3 linked regions of the Schizosaccharomyces pombe genome follow. Changing the gene in region 1 together with any one later gene gives a genetic interaction. Each region holds a gene or a part of one and is shown in the gene's direction. Other genes may lie near its edges.

What was found. A genetic interaction does not mean that the proteins touch.
Region 2: mutations in mcb1 (region 1) and mcm2 are lethal when combined (synthetic lethality), as found in Schizosaccharomyces pombe (one study listed by BioGRID).
Region 3: mutations in mcb1 (region 1) and cdc23 impair growth when combined (synthetic growth defect), as found in Schizosaccharomyces pombe (one study listed by BioGRID).

What each region holds. Positions count from the first base shown.
Region 1 is NC_003424.3:904,964-909,299, forward strand, and holds mcb1 (mini-chromosome maintenance complex-binding protein mcb1), read left to right. Parts: upstream 1-1,833; 5' UTR 1,834-1,920; coding exon 1,921-2,082; exon of another isoform or gene 2,083-2,126; coding exon 2,127-3,470; 3' UTR 3,471-3,836; downstream 3,837-4,336. Other genes in the region: rce1 (CAAX prenyl protease), read left to right, coding at 1-169; DNA replication factor C complex subunit Rfc4, read right to left, coding at 166-1,014, 1,070-1,181, 1,325-1,392; SUMO E3 ligase Pli1, read left to right, coding at 3,876-3,908, 3,961-4,336.
Region 2 is NC_003423.3:1,190,708-1,196,133, reverse strand, and holds mcm2 (MCM complex subunit Mcm2), read left to right. Parts: upstream 1-1,991; 5' UTR 1,992-2,025; coding exon 2,026-2,258; exon of another isoform or gene 2,259-2,477; coding exon 2,478-4,737; 3' UTR 4,738-4,926; downstream 4,927-5,426. Other genes in the region: SPOM_SPBC4.06 (acid phosphatase), read right to left, coding at 1-120; ubiquitin protein ligase E3 component mlo2, read right to left, coding at 791-1,780; COPII-coated vesicle-associated protein Sfb3, read left to right, coding at 5,322-5,426. UniProt on the Schizosaccharomyces pombe protein: Acts as a component of the mcm2-7 complex (mcm complex) which is the putative replicative helicase essential for 'once per cell cycle' DNA replication initiation and elongation in eukaryotic cells.
Region 3 is NC_003423.3:4,077,308-4,082,064, forward strand, and holds cdc23 (MCM-associated protein Mcm10), read left to right. Parts: upstream 1-1,749; 5' UTR 1,750-2,131; coding exon 2,132-3,913; 3' UTR 3,914-4,257; downstream 4,258-4,757. Other genes in the region: SPOM_SPBC1347.09 (hexaprenyldihydroxybenzoate methyltransferase), read left to right, coding at 143-997. UniProt on the Schizosaccharomyces pombe protein: Required for DNA synthesis. Required for entry into or completion of S phase. Involved in DNA replication and seems to participate in the activation of the pre-replication complex (pre-RC) and in transcription elongation.

The sequences.
Region 1 (4,336 bases):
TAATTCAATGGGGCTGCCAACTTTGTACGGAAAAATTGGAAACAGAAATCAGACTAGGATTTATTACACGTTACTATTGTTAGGGGTTTTGATATTTTATATGACTTGGGGTATTACTGATTTTAATAATCATCAAGACTTTGAACCAAGACTGGTGCCATTAAACTAAATAATAAAAGACTCCGGCTTCATCTGTGACTTAGCAAGGCGACATACTAAACCACTTAACTGCAACAAGGTTTGCACACCCTCTAAAATAATCATATGAGTTTGGCCAATTTCCTTAAGCATTTCTAATCTTGAAAATTCCGGAATACTGTCCATTGTCTTTACTACTCTAAACATATTAGTGACAATGTCCACAGCACTGAACCCCAAATCCCATATTCCCTGAAGTTTTTCAAGGGCGACGTCGATGTTTCCAGATTGACAAGCAGTTAGCATGGCATGTATCGCTACAGGTGAAGGCTGATCGGCGACCCGGAAAACGTTTTCACCGTTCACAAGACCGAATCCAGCAACAGTGCTCTGTAGATTGTTCACTGCTTGACGCATATCACCTTCTGCTGTCATGATAAGGGCAGCCAAACCATCATCTGTATAATTGACTTTTTCCGCTTTACATATATTCAATAAACGCTGTAAAACCTGTTGATCCGTAAGACGTGAGTATCGGAGAATTGCACACCGCGATTGAATAGGTTCAATAATTTTGTTGGATTGATTGCAAGCAAGTGCAAAACGCGTTGTATTACTGTAGATTTCCATAGTTCTACGCAAAGCTTGTTGAGCTCCAGCCGTCATACTATCTGCTTCGTCTAAAATAATGATCTTATGCCTTCCAGGTGGCAGTATGACTTTTTTCTGTGCGAATGCTTTAATTCTATTTCTCACTACATCGATACCTCGTTCATCTGAAGCATTTAATTCTAATACACCTTCCTTATATGCTGGGCCAAGTAATGCATGTGCTAAACAAAGAATAGACGTCGTTTTTCCGATACCAGGCATTCCCTATAAATATAAGTCAGCATGTAGTATAAATAATAATTAAAAAAAAATAGGTTACCGAAATAACTAGATGAGGCATATTCCCTTCCTTGGCAATAACTTTAAGTCGGTCAATCGTCTCCTCGTTACCAACAATGTCATCCAGGACGATTGGACGATACTTTTCGACCCTATAAGTTTATAGATCAGCATACTATATTATATTGAACCTTTAAATTATGAAAAGATGCCTGAGTCACCAAGAAGCAATCGTAATAGCTGAACACTAAAACCTTCATAAAGGACGTTTTAATTGCTCATAATATATACATACCATGGCAGCTCATAAGCTACAGAGTTATTTTTCTCTCCAAATACTGATGATGATACTGCATTACTCATATTCAGTGTTATTGAACTAGTAACATCAGTACTGAGTTCCAGTGAACTAGTAAATTTGTTGAGTATTTTAACCACTGCATGGTAGTCACTTCACCCATCGCGAATAGAAAAGAGCATTAATATGTAAATCTGAAAATTTTTTTTATTCTTAAATGCACTATCAAAGCTAGCTTTAAAATATATGTTTGTACAATCGACACAAATGATGAAAACAAGCACATCAATATATTTATATTATTACAAAAACGATCAATAATCTGTAAAATTCTAATATTTTTCTCTTTTAAGAGTAGTAATAAGCAATAGATAACTCTTTAAATTCACGCCTTCTGTTTCTTAATAAATTAAGCTTCTTATTAAGCGAATTTATACAGCAATTAGTACATCGTTAGGTATATGCAACGCCATAGAAAAGGGTACTTAAAGTCAATCCGCTCACGTGAAATGAACATTGCACATTGCAATATCAACATCTTTTATCATTACTGGTTTCAATAGGTTTAAAGGATAAAATTATATATTTATAATATGGTAATTGCTTTATCTGATTCTTTTATCGAAAATCCAAGATCGTTTCTTCAAAGATTTCAGGATGCATTGTTTGCAGGATCTAAGCCCGATTTACAAGGCACTTTAGGCATCGATGAAGAAGTTTCTAATATTTTCGCTACAGAGGAAAGAATAAGAAAGGTTTGTTAAGTGGTTTTTTCTCTTATTTGACACTGAATATTTAGATTCCAAACTATCTTGACTGCAAATGGTCTGAGTTAAAGACTGGTCAACTACTTCGTCTTCAAGGTATGGTGCAAGACACCAATTTTGGGCATGAATTTTTTGCTGGAGCTGTAGAGGTAAATGAAAACATTTGGAGAGGCTGTAGATACATACTTGATTTCAGCGAAGATGAAATGCATTTAGATGAATCTAAAATTGTCCTAGATGAAAGATATTCACTGTTTCTGACAAATGTTCCTGGAGAAAGAACTCTTCCTGTTATAGAAGCTTTGGGAAACTGGGGAAGCGAGAGTCTGAAAGAACGGTCATTGAAGTACTCAAACCGCTTACAAGCAAGTAATGATACCGGCGTTTGTGTTAAATGCTATGGCGGAATGGAAACTAAAGTTCAAGTTTGTCAAGCAATCGATGTTATTGGAATTTATGAAGAACCAAGTGAATACTCGGATGGTTTACCCATTTTACACATGTTATGTTTTAAGGATTATACGCAATCAGCTACTCAAGCCCCTTCTCCTCAGCAAGCTGAGATCATTCGACCAAAAATATTAAAATATTTTGAAAAAGTCCTTGGTGAAAATATAGCTGCGGAAAGTCTTATGCTTGCTCTTCTTTCCAACGTTGTTCATAAAACCACTGGTTTGGTTATAGGTGGTTTTACTTTAAATTTAACAAATTGCACCTCTGAATTAGTGTCCCAGTTAGTTTCTGTGTTACGGCCTTTGATAAAAAGAATGGTGATTCAAAAAGTTAATGTCGCCGAGCTTAACAGGAAGCCGCTTTATCCCTTGAGTGATGGAGAGACATTAGATACTAGCCATTTGCAAGTGGCTCCTGGCACCCTTATAGTTCTTGATGAAACTGAACTATCGAGTGGAACCTTAAACGATGTCGGATGCCGTAACGTTCAGTTTTTGTCTTCCCTAATATCTCAACAGGATTTAACATTTTTTTATCCTTTCAGTTCTTTTACCGTTCACAGTAATGTTCGAATAATTATATTAAGCCATGGAAGATCTATTTTGCCAGCTGATGTCGGTTGTAGATGTAGAGGCGATTCTCCGGACACTATTGAATTTCCAACTGATTCGGATGAGCTGCAAGAGTTTTGTAATTTTTTTCACATGTGGAACATGCGTGCTAATATTCCCGAAAACATGCTGGATTATATTCAATCTACATATGTGAGCTCCCGTCAATATAATAAAGAAATCAATGAAAAAACACTTTCATTACAGATCAATTGCTCTCGTCTCTACGCGAAGAGTTTCGGTCGTCAACTGGTTTCAAGAATTGATTTTGAGGCTGCCCGTAGTCTAATCAATCATTGGACTGTCAACTGATTGATCGCATATTTTCTTATAATCAACATCATTTAACCAATGTTAGAAATTACTTTTCATGTCTTTTTGGAATTTCCAAGTTAATTTCCTCATTCATTCGATCAAATTCATCAAAAGTTCATTTATATTGTTATTTAATTATTACTACAAGTAAAGCTCACTTGCCCGTTTTTTTTTTGTTTTCTTACATTATCACATACCGCACTGCCATATACTTCCTTATCTTCAAATATTAAATTCAAGTTTTGCCAACCAGGCGTTTGCAGAGATTCAAGGAATAAATATAATTCATTGTATTTTTAGCTAAAATTTGATTTCTTTGTCTTTCAAATACCTATACGGAAGCAGTCATTGCATATAACATATGTGTAAATCGACGGTTTAGGCAAGCAGTCTAAAAACTCAATGAACCAGGCGAACTTTTTACAGGAGCTTCCAGTAAGCCCAATAATAAGATATTTACAAGTTAACTAACAAAATGAATGTTTAGAATGTACTAAAGCGACTGGAAACTGGTCTTATTATACCTCAACTGAAAGATATACTTCGTGTTTTTGGACTTCGTCTTTCAGGAACAAAAGCTGAGCTCATTACCAGAATTAAACAACTAATAGAGAGGATAGCTATAGAAAACAACACAACCTCTTGGGAAGCATTGAAAAAGGCAATCGATGGCGATGTTACAAGTGCCGTATGTATCTTAAAGTACAACACATATCAGATATATAGTGCTGCTGCTCCAATTGCTCCACCTAGTTCAGCTTCTGGAAATAGATCATACAGCCGTCCTTTCGCCCCAGTTGTTCATTCGCGAATACGATTTCGAAAAAGTCCCTTTTATGACATTTTGGAACAATTCAATGCAC
Region 2 (5,426 bases), on another chromosome or scaffold:
GGGAGCACGTTCACCATGTCGAAATATGACTTGTAAATATTTCAGTTGCAGCTGTTTTGGATAATCGACTCCGGGAACTGAATCCGGGAATTTAACAGAAGCTGAAGACATTTGAGACATGGCGGCTAGGAAGTGGTTGATGATGCTGGATAAGAGCTGCTGTCAACTAAGGTCTCAATGCTTGAACATCATCGCAAAGCTCATATAAAATATGAATTACTGAATATTAACGAAACGACACTATTTGAAAATTAGTTTTGTTTATGAAAAGAAAACAATAAAATATAAAGTTAATTCAATCTTAAAAAACTGTTAGGAAAAAATTAAAATGAAAGTCATTATGAGATATAACAAAAAAAAAATACCCAGACAGGGTTTCTCTTTAGCTTTCTCAATCAAAAATAAAAGATAAAAGACGCAACCACCAAAACTATAGATAGGTTTAAAAATTTTAATGAGTGCAGTTAAAATAGGAGAGACAAGAAAGCTAGAAGTTCAATATATTAATTATTGTTCAAATATACATACAAATTTGTCATCATCATTAAAATCATGTATACCAACAAGCCCCAGTAAGCCTCTCAAATTAACCATCTCTGTTAAGAAAATCAATTAAACCATTTTTGATAGAGAAATGATTACGTTTAACCATAAGCACATAGAAAATATCTCTGGTTTCACCAGTATAAACAGCGTTTCACAAAAAGCATCACCAGATTAAGTATAACCTACATGTTTTGACGTTAAATTATACGCCAAAAAAGAAGGGAATTCAAAAAAGTTATTAACGCTACCGTAAATTTTTACTGATTCGAGATCGCTCCAAGAAAAAATTTGATATATCTTCCTTGGTGACAACCCTATTTTCACGAGCAAATGGAGTGAGGAAGTCCGTTAGCTCAGATTTTAAGCGATTATACGCATAAACGCTTTCGTTAGCTTGTACACGAGGAAGTCTGTCCAAAATACGAAGGACATCATTCATTGTGCTAGATATGACTTGCTCAATCATTTCTCCAGATTCACTGGGATCCTCATTCATCTCACTGATTCCATCCTCAGAATCCTCAGGAGGTTCGTAAATAGGTTCTTCTGCCACCAACATTGGCATCTCCAAATTACGCAAACTGATGCAAGATTCACAAGGGCACAAATTTTCCCTAAAGTTTTCTGAAAGAAATAGAGGCGCTCGTTCTGTACCAGCTATGCTTTCATGCTTCTGGTTTAAAAGATGATCGCGGTATTTTTCTGAACATTCTGAACACACCAACCATTCAAAAGTCTCAGCATCTGGGATTGCAATTCCTTTATTAGTTTTCTGCAGACACTTTTCGTGAAACCAATCTTCGCAAAGGATGCATTGAAACATAGTTCCTTCCTCTGTCTCTGGATTATACACCGTATCACATATGCAAAATCGCCCTTCGAAATTATGATTATAATCATTTTCTGAGCCACATTCATCAACGGATTTCCGTAAATTACAAGGTATGGAGTGGGTTCTTGTGGTGCCACAATCACATCGAAAATGTCGTTTATTGAATAGGTCCACAAGATCATGGTCAGCATGGCAGCTAATACTGCAGCTATAGCAAACAGCATTTAAGCTTCCGCTAGCTTTTTGACATGTCAAACAAGCGTATAAAGGTTGCTTCAAATAGCCCATCGAATAAGTGCACGTGTCAAAGCTGTAAGGCAAAACTTCTCGTGCCTCCCTTTCAAGCTCCCTTTGCTGTTCAACATATTGCTTAACCGTTAATTCATGAGCCGTTTCCTCCATAAGTTATTAAATGCAACTAAACGTTGGCAAATAGACGGCGTAAACAATTGCGAAGAATGTCTTTTGAATAATTCAAAACACTAACTCATTACGCTCCTCTATTTCATTTACAGGTATCACTACATTTTCCAATACAATTTAACAATATACTGTAGCATTTCTTATTCTTTCATCCTGCAATACTCTAGCTATTCAATGCATTAAAATAGTTAGAAACAACATCTTTAAAGTATTTGAGTCCAAAGATGGATTCTTTTCGGAAAAGGGGTCGCCGCGATTCTGAAAGTTTACCTTTTGAATCAGAAAATTCTTCTCTCGGTGCTACACCTCTTTCTTTACCTCCTTCTTCACCTCCTCCAGAATTCTCTGATGAAGCTGCAGAAGCTCTCGTGGAGGAGGATATTGAGGATCTGGACGGAGAAGCTTTAGATGTAGAGGATGAAGAAGGTGAAGATTTGTTCGGAGAAGGAATGGAACGGTAAGTTTTATAGCTATGCTTGAGACGTGTCTTGTCAATGTTGTGTATACTAAGTGTTGCCATCAATATATAAATTACATACTATTTCTTCTCCTTCTTGTAAATAAATATATTTATTGGATTCCTAGGTTGCGGTTATATTGACAGAACAAATCTTGATTTTCAAAAGAGTAGTTTCACATTTCGCGTCAAATAAGGTACTTTTTTCTAACTGTATAGTGATTATCAACAAAATTTGGAGCTAGATCGTTATGACATTGAAGAACTAGATGACGATAACGATCTTGAAGAATTAGATATCGGGGCCCGAAGAGCTGTTGATGCCAGGTTGAGACGACGTGATATTGAGCTCGATGCTGCTGCAGGTAGAACAAAACCTGCTGCATTTTTACAAGATGAAGATGATGATTTGGACTCCAATCTTGGCACAGGCTTCACTCGTCATCGACATCGAATTTACGACGAATATTCACCTAATGTTGGCGCATTGGACGAATCTGGTGAACTTCCTCTTGAATCAATTGCCGACGTAAAGGCCGATAGTATTGCCGAATGGGTTACTCTTGATCCTGTTCGGCGTACAATTGCTCGAGAATTCAAAAATTTCCTTCTTGAATATACAGATGAAAATGGCACCTCTGTATACGGTAACCGTATTCGCACATTGGGTGAGGTTAATGCTGAGTCGTTGATGGTTAATTATGCCCATCTTGGTGAATCTAAACCCATTTTGGCTTATTTCTTGGCCAATGCGCCTGCACCTATTTTTCGCATATTTGATCGTGTTGCTTTGGAAGCCACTCTTTTGCATTATCCAGACTATGAAAGAATACACTCTGATATTCATGTTCGTATCACTAATCTTCCTACTTGTTTTACTTTACGCGATCTACGACAATCCCATCTTAATTGCCTTGTACGGGTATCTGGTGTCGTAACTAGGCGCACTGGGCTTTTTCCACAATTAAAATACATTCGGTTTACATGTACCAAATGTGGTGCTACTTTGGGTCCATTTTTTCAAGACTCTAGCGTTGAAGTAAAAATTTCTTTCTGTCACAACTGTTCCAGCCGTGGTCCGTTTGTAATCAACTCTGAACGGACTGTATATAATAACTATCAAAGGATCACTTTACAAGAATCACCTGGCACCGTCCCCTCAGGTAGACTGCCTCGACACCGTGAAGTTATTCTTTTAGCGGACTTGGTTGATGTTGCCAAACCAGGCGAAGAGATTGATGTTACTGGCATATACCGCAATAACTTCGATGCTAGTCTGAATACCAAAAACGGGTTTCCTGTCTTCGCTACAATTATAGAAGCAAATCACATATCGCAACTTGACGGCAGTGGTAATACTGATGATGATTTCTCTTTAAGTCGGCTTACTGATGATGAGGAAAGGGAAATTCGGGCATTAGCAAAGTCGCCTGATATTCACAACAGAATTATTGCATCGATGGCGCCTTCTATTTATGGACATCGCTCTATCAAAACTGCTATTGCTGCTGCTTTATTCGGTGGTGTCCCCAAAAATATTAACGGTAAGCATAAAATTAGAGGTGATATCAATGTTTTATTGTTGGGAGATCCAGGAACCGCCAAATCTCAATTTCTTAAGTATGTTGAAAAAACGGCACATAGGGCTGTCTTCGCCACAGGTCAGGGTGCCAGTGCTGTTGGTCTAACTGCATCCGTCCGTAAAGACCCCATTACGAATGAATGGACTTTGGAAGGGGGTGCTTTGGTTTTAGCAGATAAAGGTGTTTGTTTGATTGACGAGTTCGATAAAATGAATGATCAGGATCGTACTTCTATTCACGAAGCCATGGAACAACAAAGTATTTCTATTTCTAAGGCGGGTATTGTGACTACCTTGCAGGCGAGGTGCACTATTATTGCTGCCGCTAATCCCATCGGTGGACGTTATAACACTACAATTCCTTTTAATCAAAATGTTGAGCTGACCGAACCTATTTTATCTCGTTTTGACATCCTTCAGGTCGTCAAAGACACGGTTAATCCTGAAATTGATGAACAGCTAGCTAATTTTGTTGTATCAAGTCATATTCGATCTCATCCTGCATTTGATCCGAATATGGATGTCTTGAAGAAAGTCCCTACTGAGACTGGTATTGATGCCAAACCCATTCCCCAAGATCTTCTTCGTAAATATATCCATTTCGCTCGTGAAAAAGTTTTTCCTCGATTACAGCAAATGGATGAAGAAAAGATTTCGAGACTTTATAGCGATATGAGACGCGAGTCACTGGCTACTGGAAGTTATCCTATTACTGTGCGTCATCTGGAGTCTGCTATCCGTTTAAGTGAAGCATTTGCAAAAATGCAGCTCAGTGAGTTTGTGCGCCCTTCACATATAGACAAAGCCATTCAAGTGATTATTGATTCCTTTGTGAATGCCCAAAAAATGAGTGTTAAACGAAGTTTGTCAAGAACATTTGCTAAATATCTTATTTAATTTTTTGACACAATCAGTTTATGGAGTCCAGTGATTTTGATTTCCCCGTTCTTTGACCCTCCTTTTGTTACTGCATCTGTTGCATATATCTATCCTTTAATAATTTGCAATCAAAATTTGCTTTACATTTTTATACCTATCTTTACATTCATTCTTTCTTAGTTTTCAAAATGTCAATCTAAATTATTTAGGTTAATAACACTTGTTTTGAATATCATTATTGACTATTCGCTATAGATACTAGGTGTATAGATACTTTCTCCGCTGTATCAATATTATTAGCTGTTTCATTAAAGAGCCACTGCCCATGTGAAATGACATTTTTTGAAACAGCTGAGGTTTTTTACATATAGAGCTAAATTGTCCATTTCCAAATTTAAAGGGAAGTCAACTTTTGACAATCGGAAATGCATCCAGTTCATATCTGATGTTCCTGAAGAATCTCAAATTTCACACTTTATTATCTAAAATTATTTATATCGTGTTACTCTTTCAAATCAGTCTTTTTATTTGGTATATATTTTGCCCTACCCTTACCTACTTATATTCGTACATCCACCAAGTAAACTTGACACAAAAACAAAATGGCCTATCCCGGGCAGTTTGGAAATTACGGTAATCCTGAGACTTATAGGCAAAATGTTGCTGGCAATATTGCTTCATATGGGGGCCCTGAAATTGACACTCAG
Region 3 (4,757 bases), on another chromosome or scaffold:
TAATCTTTCATAATCGTGGTACCTTGTGACATAAATTTTCAGTCATAACCATTTAAAGATAGTCCTTGATTATCTTTTTTTTTAATATTCCTATTAGCAAGACTTCACCGTTCATTAACAATATAAAAGGAACTAAAATATCATGTCGGATATAGTTTATGCCAACGTGTCTCATTACAACAAAATAGAAGCATCGAAATATGACAATCCAAGTACCTTGGCGATTTCCAAAGTGATTTCTTCAAAAATTTTACAGTTTGAAGACAATTCCGAAACCAGCCTAAGACATGATCTCCCAAAATATGATCAAGATAGGCTGCTTTTAACTTCGGATGATGATTTGACAAATGTAAATAATTTTTGGAAGAAAAGTGGTATGAGTATATTGGATTTTGCTTGTGGAACTGGTTTAATTAGCCAACACCTGTTCCCTTACTGTAAACAAATTGTTGGCATAGACGTTTCCCAAGACATGGTGGACGTTTATAATGAAAAATTTAGAAAGATGAACATTCCCAAAGAAAGAGCCTGTGCATATGTTTTAAGTTTGGATGATTTGGATGGCAACGGCGATGAACCATTTTCTACTGAATTTGATGCTGTTGTATGCTCCATGGCATATCATCATATCAAGGACCTACAGGAAGTGACTAATAAGCTTTCTAAACTTTTAAAACCTAATGGTCGATTATTTGTCGCAGATTTAATAAAGGGGGGTGATACTTTTCATGGTAATTTGCATCCTGATGAAATAGCTAAGCTTGGCGTAGCTCATCATGGTGGATTTACTCCGCAATCAATTTTGAATTTATTCAAAAATGCATCTTTGTCAAACGCTGAAGTCATTGGTAAAGCTCAGGCAAATGTGTGGGTCGATGAAGCTAAGTATCAACGGTCAACCCAGTCAAAAGACGCTAAAACCTTAGATTTAGCTAACGGAGAGAAGCTGTATGAGGTAAAATTACAGCTGATGGTTATTAGTGGTATCAAAACATGATCCCCTTAATTTTTAATTAGGGATAAACAAATGAATGGTCTGGGTACCCGATTTTAGAAGGTGAAGCAATCAGACCAGGAATTGCTTCATTTAAACAAGTATTGATGTCCATTAAATTGATAGCTTATGATAACTTATAACACTGTGAGTCCCGGTGATTCATTTAAACGAAACTACATACTGAGCATTCAGAAAGGACTAAACTTCATTGAAACGACAATTTCGAATATGATCAACCAAATATTATGTGGGATTACAGGCTTTTTTTATACAATACTGGAAATTTCGTTATATGATTTTTCTTCATAAGTTGGTTTCAAAAGAACTGGCCAACTGTTGTCACAAAGATTTTAATATTAAGCGCAAATTTGAATAGACAACGGAAACTAGGCAATCTCTTCCACCAAATGTAAAAAAAAGTTCGACGTTTAAAATTTAACTGTTCAAAATACCCCTTTTAAATAAGTTACTATATGCATTTGAATACTGTAGACACATCTTTTATGATTCTATATAGACAAATATCGTAAGTTTATATTATGTAAATGAATTCGTGATATCGAACGTGTATACTCATTAAATTAGCGCATCTATTTTAACCTTTTATTATTCAAACTGCAGTTATGTTGTTTACCTATAGCATGTGTAGTATAGAGAGGATTTAATTTTGCACATTATGCTTGTTTATGCACTACATTTTGCATCCTTAAACACATGTCCTTTAGATGTCCGCTAACTGTTTACATTCCTATATGTTTAACCGCGATTTTTAAGTATTGGAAAATAAGAATATCTTGTTAAAAAGATTTATAATTATTACTTGCTTCCTTTTCCAGGACTAAAGAATTTCCTGTTTTTGGCACTAAACTTTTCAACAATATCTTCGCATTTCAAAATACAAATGTGGCAGTATTAAATTTATCCTGTTATTTGTTTTGGCTACTCATACAATAGAGAAGAAAATTTTATTGATCAGAGTTTTTTTAATTTCCTGAAAAGCTAGTTTTCTAGGGTTGGGTTGAAAAGTTTCAGTATTCGTGAGAAATTGACTATATCTAACAGGCGGGGGGTTTTTTTTATCATTGACTTTGGAGGTTTAAGATTAAGAGGAAACCAAGTTTAATTAATGCAAGTATGCATGATCCCTTCATTGCAGAAGAAAATGACTTGGACCTGGAAGAAAAGAGGTTACAGAGGCAGCTAAATGAAATTCAAGAAAAGAAGCGTCTACGAAGTGCTCAAAAGGAGGCTTCTTCGGAGAACGCTGAAGTTATTCAGGTTCCAAGATCTCCTCCTCAGCAAGTTCGTGTCCTTACAGTCAGCTCGCCTAGTAAACTAAAAAGTCCCAAGCGATTGATATTAGGAATCGATAAAGGAAAGACGGGGAAAGATGTTTCATTAGGAAAAGGGCCTCGAGGGCCTCTACCAAAACCATTTCACGAACGACTTGCAGAGGCAAGGAACCAAGAAAGGAAGAGGAGCGATAAATTGAAAACGATGAAAAAAAATAGAAAGCAATCGTTCCAGAGGAAGCGAAACATACTTGAAGATGGAAAAAGTGAAGAGGAGAAATTTCCTATGAAATGTGATGAAATCGATCCTTATTCAAGACAAGCCATTGTTATTCGATACATAAGTGATGAGGTTGCTAAGGAAAATATAGGGGGAAATCAAGTTTATCTCATTCACCAACTACTCAAACTAGTAAGAGCTCCTAAATTTGAAGCGCCAGAAGTTGACAACTATGTAGTTATGGGCATTGTTGCCAGTAATAGTGGAACCAGAGAAACTGTGAATGGGAATAAATATTGTATGCTAACACTGACTGACTTGAAATGGCAACTGGAGTGCTTCCTGTTTGGAAAGGCGTTTGAACGATACTGGAAGATCCAGAGTGGTACTGTCATTGCGCTTCTCAATCCTGAAGTACTAAAGCCAAAGAACCCAGACATTGGACGCTTTTCTCTGAAGCTGGATTCTGAGTACGATGTACTTTTAGAGATTGGTCGCTCCAAACACCTTGGCTATTGTTCCAGCCGAAGAAAAAGCGGTGAACTATGTAAACATTGGCTCGACAAGCGTGCCGGAGATGTATGTGAATATCACGTTGACCTCGCTGTCCAGCGGTCCATGTCTACGCGAACGGAGTTTGCTTCAAGTATGGCGACTATGCACGAGCCTCGCGCACGACGTGAAAAGCGATTTCGTGGACAAGGGTTCCAAGGATACTTTGCTGGGGAAAAGTATTCCGCAATTCCTAACGCAGTAGCTGGTTTGTATGATGCAGAAGACGCCGTTCAGACCGAGAGGGAGCGCAAGGAACGATACAAAAAACAACGAGCGCAGGCTGAACGCGAGCGTGAAATTTTGGTGCGATTATCGAAGCGATGTTGCGCTTCCTCTTCGTCTAGCTCTAACTCGAATAACCTCTCTACGGGAATGTCGATGCGAACACTCGGCCATCAGTATCTAAATTTACAAGGTTCCGGCGTTAAAAATTTACATGACAAGGGTAATCCCACTGCTCTTTCTAAAGATAGCGAAATTGATTCATCGACGAAAAAACCATCCGTTCTGGCCTCTTTTAATGCATCTATAATGAACCCTAAATCCTCTCTACCATCTTTTTCTAACTCTGCTATTCTCGGCACTAACGATGCGGCATCAGGGACACCCGTTCCACAAGATACTACATCCACCAAAGTTTCCCCAGCGGTAGTGTTTACCTCTTCGCCGAGGATTTTTTCCCCCCAAAGTCTACGAAAAATAGGTTTCGATCCAACGCATTCCGCAGATGCATCTACAACGCACTCCACAGCGACTGGACTTTCACGATCCGGCTCCCTAAAAAATATCAAATTCCGATATGAATTTACTGAGAGTGATGATGAGGATGACTTAGAAATAGTTCCCTGAATTTTACGTTGTTTTTCTATACATTATGATGAAAATTAATTATTTAAATTACTAACCAACTTACTAATTAATTAGCTAGCTAATGGATATAGCTATGATTTCAAATGAATGTTCTTTTGTTTACATGCGACACACTTTGCTATCATGAAACTTTCAACCCTTTGTTAAACCTTTCTTCTAAATCCTAATCCTTAGTAAATCCCAATGGAATATTTGAAACGCTTATTAAACACAGTCGCTCTTTTCATTTGTGATGTCAACTGTTTGAATTCAATGTGCGAAGTCTCCCTTTTTTGTTCTGCTAGCTTCTCTCTCATACAAGAACGGCCGTTACAGCTTTTGACATCACATTGTTTATTAATCAAACGAACGTAAGCTTACTTTCATATGGTATGATGGGCTTGTAAGCAATACTAAGATAGCCAGCCAAACTGAGGTACTGTCGACACCTTTAGCTTACGATTGCTTTCGTCTAGGTATCGGACTTTACACTGCTAGTCGCCTATTTTAACGTTGCGCCGTATGGAACGGGTATCGCATTCTTATCAGTAAGGAAAGCTATCTGAATTCGTCACAAAGGAAAAGGCAAATAAATAGTCTAAAACTATATAAATGCGGGCTTCCATCTAAGAGACCTCGCCATCCAACAATTGTTGCGTCCCACCTAAACAGTGTCTAATCAAAGTCAATTGCGAGACATTCTAAAGTAAAAAGTTAATACATTTTAGCTACTACTAAATACTTCTTTTGATATTCTTTTTAGTGAACAATAAAGAATATTGGTTTGATCAACACGGTCATCTTCAGAAAAAAAATTTTTTATTCGTTGGTTTAATTAGTTAAG